Linked DNA regions of Bombyx mori. The protein of the gene in region 1 binds, or shares a complex with, the protein of each later gene. Links are inferred from orthologs where the notes say so. Each region holds a gene or a part of one and is shown in the gene's direction. Other genes may lie near its edges.

What was found. The genes of interacting proteins can lie anywhere in the genome.
Region 2: U6 snRNA-associated Sm-like protein LSm4 (region 1) and U6 snRNA-associated Sm-like protein LSm8 share a complex: the UniProt entries of both Homo sapiens proteins name them as parts of the precatalytic spliceosome. The link is inferred for Bombyx mori from reciprocal best matches to the Homo sapiens genes LSM4 and LSM8.

The regions. Positions count from the first base shown.
Region 1 is NC_085117.1:3,991,919-3,994,807, forward strand, and holds U6 snRNA-associated Sm-like protein LSm4, read left to right. Parts: upstream 1-1,549; 5' UTR 1,550-1,916; coding exon 1,917-2,336; 3' UTR 2,337-2,375; downstream 2,376-2,889. Other genes in the region: guanine nucleotide-binding protein-like 1, read right to left, coding at 139-232. UniProt on the Homo sapiens protein: Plays a role in pre-mRNA splicing as component of the U4/U6-U5 tri-snRNP complex that is involved in spliceosome assembly, and as component of the precatalytic spliceosome (spliceosome B complex).
Region 2 is NC_085112.1:10,370,684-10,373,104, forward strand, and holds U6 snRNA-associated Sm-like protein LSm8, read left to right. Parts: upstream 1-1,483; 5' UTR 1,484-1,592; coding exon 1,593-1,883; 3' UTR 1,884-1,911; downstream 1,912-2,421. UniProt on the Homo sapiens protein: Plays a role in pre-mRNA splicing as component of the U4/U6-U5 tri-snRNP complex that is involved in spliceosome assembly, and as component of the precatalytic spliceosome (spliceosome B complex).

The DNA.
Region 1 (2,889 bases):
ACACACTTTCACTTTTTTTTAATGTATGGACTTGCAACCCTCAAAAAGGCAGTAGTAGCTAATTCAGTAATAGTACTTCTGCGGTAGTAGCTAATTCAATTTTGTATAAATTCAGGACGAATATGTGATAATACGTACTAGGCATGAGTAAAACCTTGTTCTGCTTCTTAGACTGCAGTTGTTGTTTTTTGGCCTTCCCGCTGAACGGGGTCTTCCGACGTGCTTGGGGCATGACGAGTAACTCTGTTAATTATGGACAATGTTATTATGAAGTAAACATCTTTACAACTGTTGAACTGCAAGTACAGTTTTAATATTTTTCTGGGTATTTTAATTATTTTATTGAATATCACGTCATAGTATTTTACCATTATACTTTTTCTCGCTCTGATGACCAGATTTGAAGATACAAAAGTAACGCTTACAGGTGTAAGTGTAAACTCAAAAAATGTAGGTACTGGGTAATGTATTATTTATCAAATATACTAAACTAATTGATCGTAATAAGCGATTAAGAATCTGATTTTCAAAAACCGTAACCGATTTTTAACCGTAATTAAATCAAGAATTAATAAACTTAACTAATTAATAAAGAGAAAAACTAAAATTTGGAACACGAGGTCTCCTTGGAATATTATAATTGTACAGAAATAGTTTCAAACTTACGTTAGACTCAAAACAAGAAATCTATTCCTAATTTCTCACTGAAGGGCTTGAACTTATTATCTTTTTACCTATTTAATTGATTTTCGTGTGAATATGAAAATTATTCTACCGACCGGCTAACAATTGAAAACATTTTTTTTCACAGGATTGACAATTGACAGCTGACCGACAAATTAAAGGCATTGAACTCTGTTTTTTTTTTCAAATTTAGGATATTTTCTAAGGGATTTTATGACCTAGTAACTAAAACTTTTAGGTCAAATCTTATTTTAATTTATTTAATTCTTATTTTTACGAAAAATGATAATATAGAGTGAAATGAAATGAAGATGAAATGAAGTGAGATGAAATTAAATGAAATGAGATGAGATGATGTAGGATGAAATATAATCTCAGTAAAATGGTGGACATTTACTAAGACTTTTCAATTGGCTCTTTGGACGATCCCAACAAGCTACGTCTAGCGGATTTGTTTCAATTTCCCACACTTGTGCACTTTCACAGATATTATACAGTTAAACCTGAAGAAACAATAAATAGACAAAATAAAACAAATCACACAACTTCACTCCCCGCGTTCCCGCCAAAAAGTAAAAATTTATGATAATTTTGACAGCTCACAGTAAGGATGCTAAAGTCATTGACTTTGGATTATCGAACATAGATTTATTCTCATGGAACTAGAAATTGATAGTTGCATGGACAGTAAGCTGTATGGTCAAATTAAAACAAAAAAAGTTACATTACATTTAACTATTAAGTTCAGCAACAAAACCCTTCAACACCAGTTTCGATACGTTCTTTTTTTTCATCATTTATCCTATTGAATGCAATTTTTGTAGACGGGTTCACCTTTAGAATAAATTGAAACCAGGAATGAGATTTCTAATTATTTATTACTAATACAATGGTGTGCAACGTAAATTGTTTTATTATTATTCATCATCATCACAAGATTCACTACTACTAGAACTGTCCCTTAACTCTCCAGTTGGACTCGTCTACTTGTAAATTCTTGTTCACAAACTTCATTACATTACCATTGAAGCAATTTTCACTTCTTCTCAAATATTAAGTGTATTATCTGTGCGTCTTCTGACAACTGAGCACTGTCAGTGTCAACCTAAAGTCCTAAAGTAACCTAAAAAAACAAGAAGTTGACAATACACCAAACAACGCGAAAGTAGGAAAATAAACTTCTAATACAAATAAATAATAAACTTCAAAACGAAGTTGATCATTACATCAAAATGTTGCCGCTATCTTTGTTACGGACAGCGCAGAACCACCCTATGCTTGTCGAATTGAAAAATGGCGAAACTTACAATGGTCATCTCGTAAGCTGCGATAATTGGATGAACATTAATTTACGTGAAGTTATTTGCACGTCGAGAGACGGCGACAAGTTCTGGAGGATGCCGGAATGTTATATACGTGGTAGTACGATCAAATACTTGAGAATACCGGACGAGGTCATCGACATGGTGAAGGAGGAGACACAGGTTAAAGCGCGCGGTCGTAACGAGGTTTCCAAGGGACGCGGGCAAAACATGAGGACCGGTGGCCGTGGTGGTAGCCGAGGCGCATTCGGTAACCGCGGCAGAGCACCTCCACTAGCCCGTGGCGGCGGGAACCCGCGACCACAGAACAAAAATAAAAATAAAATGTAAGATAAGTTTTTTAATAAATTAAGTTATTTGGCTAAGGAATAGTTTTGTTTCATTTAAAGTTCAAAATTCCTCCATACATGCTGGTGCAAAGCAACCATATATTTGACCAAATCCAAGATTATTTATTAGTCATAATCCTGATGTAGAATTCATTGAAAATCAATAATATCTAAATAATTTGGAAACTGCAGATGCACAGGTAGTTATGAATTCATCAATCCATTAATATAAAATATTTAAGCTACCCATATCTCTGTTAAATCTAAAATGGGATACAACTTTATTATTTCTTGATATTTTAAGAAAATACATTTTTTTGTTTTATATCTTTAATTGGTTTTCACACTATTCAATTCGTGTCAATATATAAAAAAAATCAAAGTATACTGAAATCATTTATTTACAAAAAACGCTTAAAGTAATAATACTATTGTATAATATGGCAATACCCATTAATGAAATGGTAAAAAACAGAGTAAAAAAAAACAGTGTAAAAGCAATATTTTAATGATGATCCTTGAAACTTGATACAGATAGAGTTATCACATTTGAA
Region 2 (2,421 bases), on another chromosome or scaffold:
ACCTAATTATCAATGTCGTAACTCGACACTTGCCATATATTCATACTATTAATAGTAAGTATTGCGAAAAATAAGTTATTGCTTGTGTCTTGTGACTTGTTGTCCACAATATTGTAGAGAAGCATTACTCGGTAATATGTTGCACAGTGTATCACAGCGGTCGGGGAACTTTTTTAATTATTACCCCAAAATATATTTTTTTAAGTTGGTTGGTTGGGTAATTACCCCATGGCGAAGAACAAAAAAAATATGAAATCGCTTCTTTTTAGTATCTTTCATATTATAGCCCCGATGATAATTTTCAAAAGAAAAAACTAAAAATTTAATTTAAGCATCATTTATTCAATTTATCAATGTAATACATAGTAATACATAACGGTAATAATAGTAATATCTGTAATATACAGTTGAGGAAAAAAAATCACCCCCACAGAGAATATAAGTAATTGATAATTTCTTGTTATTTTATAATTCACACGATGCCTACAATAAAATACCTGGGTCAATCACGTGAACTTTGTGTTTCCAAATAATGTGTTCTATCTCATTCTCTCGCCGGCTGAATCCTATATATTTATGTGTTTGTGTCTCTATGGACTTATTTTTCGTTTCGTTTAATTTCGTTTCATCGAATTTGAAATCACAACGATTCTAAAGAAGCTTCACTTCAATATATACTTTTTACTCACAAAAGTTTCATTTTTACGCCCCAAAATTTCATTTTAGGTAATTTACCCCGGTTCCCTGGCTGCTGGTGTATCATAATAATTTGTGAATATATGATCCGTCAGATCTTTTCTACCCAATTTACACGCTTTATATTAACTTCACTTGTATGTATGTTTGCAACTGACTCCTTTAGACGCGATTTTGACCCACTTTAAACGGCCAGAATTCATTCAAACTTTGTAGATTTATCGAGGACCGATAAAAAAATACTAATTTGATAAGATTATTCCATTATTCAATTTATAAAATAAGATTTTGGTCAATTTATATAATTTTTATCTATACTCGATAAGGCAGGAATTGATGTTAATGTACTTAATAGTTTTAAAAATACGCTTTTAAAGAAAATTTAAAATACATAATAGTTTAAAAAACTAAAAAAGACACTTTATATAAAATTCAACTAAAAAATTAAAATAAATTTTAATAAATTTAAATTGAAAATAGTGTAAAATATATTTTATTTAAAAAAAAGAGTGGGGTGCTTTTTAAGATATTATTGAAATAATAATTCTTCTACTCATATCTGTCAGAAAAATATTTATAACTAATAACACCATGCACCCCATGCTTTTTTTACAATAAAATATATTTTACACTATATTCAATTTAAATTTATTAAAATTTATTTTCTATTTTTTTAGTTGAATTTTAGATAAAGCGTGTTTTTTATTTTTTTAAACTATTATTTATTATGTAGTAATCATGTAGGTAGTAATAGTAATTGTAGTAGCTATTATACTAATCTGTGTAGGTACACATTTCAAATAATAATCTGTGGCAGCTCCCTGAAATTTGAAAATTTCTTATAGTTGTTTGATGTTGATTATTACTAATTTGAATTTATAAATAAAATAATTAGAATGGCTTCTGGACTCGAAAATTACGTGAATCAAACAGTGTCGGTAATAACTTCGGATGGACGTAATTTTATTGGCACCCTTAAGGGCTTTGACCAAACAATAAATATTATTTTAGACGAATCTCACGAAAGAGTGTTTTCCTCCACAAGTGGCGTCGCTCAAGTAGTACTTGGACTTCACATAATCAGAGGAGACAATGTGGCAATAGTCGGGCAAATAGACGAGTCAATTGATAGCAGATTAGACCTCGGAAACATCAAGGCAGAACCACTTGGACCAATGGTACATTAGAACTAGTTAATAAATGTTTTGTTATCAATCGGTGTTTCATTTGGGCAAATAAATATCATATTTTGTATTCGTCTCTTGTCTTGATTTACTAATTCGCAAAGCAGAATACATATTTTCACCCATAAAAATTAATCTTAGCCCTGGCTTGGGTTTTCCATTCTCTGAATAGGATTTGTGATAGCATGCCCTGTAATACCTGTTAGAATAGACAACACCCTGGATATATGTTCATTTCTTTGAACATAATCCTTAGGAAGTTACTTATGATGCCTATTGTAAACTACCAAATTAAGGGTTATATGTTTTACTCTTTCACAAAATACACATGAAGGTTCAAATACATTAAATCCCTGTATAATATATTCACAGGAATCAAAAATATTCATAGGTACTAAAAGAACCTTATTTCTCATTTGCTAATGGGTCTCATCACAATCAGCTCAGTTAGCCTGTTACCAACACAATTTTTTTAATGTGTTTGTGCTCTAGTAACTGGCATATAAATAACCGTTTTAGAATAAGCATAATAGCATTTCTT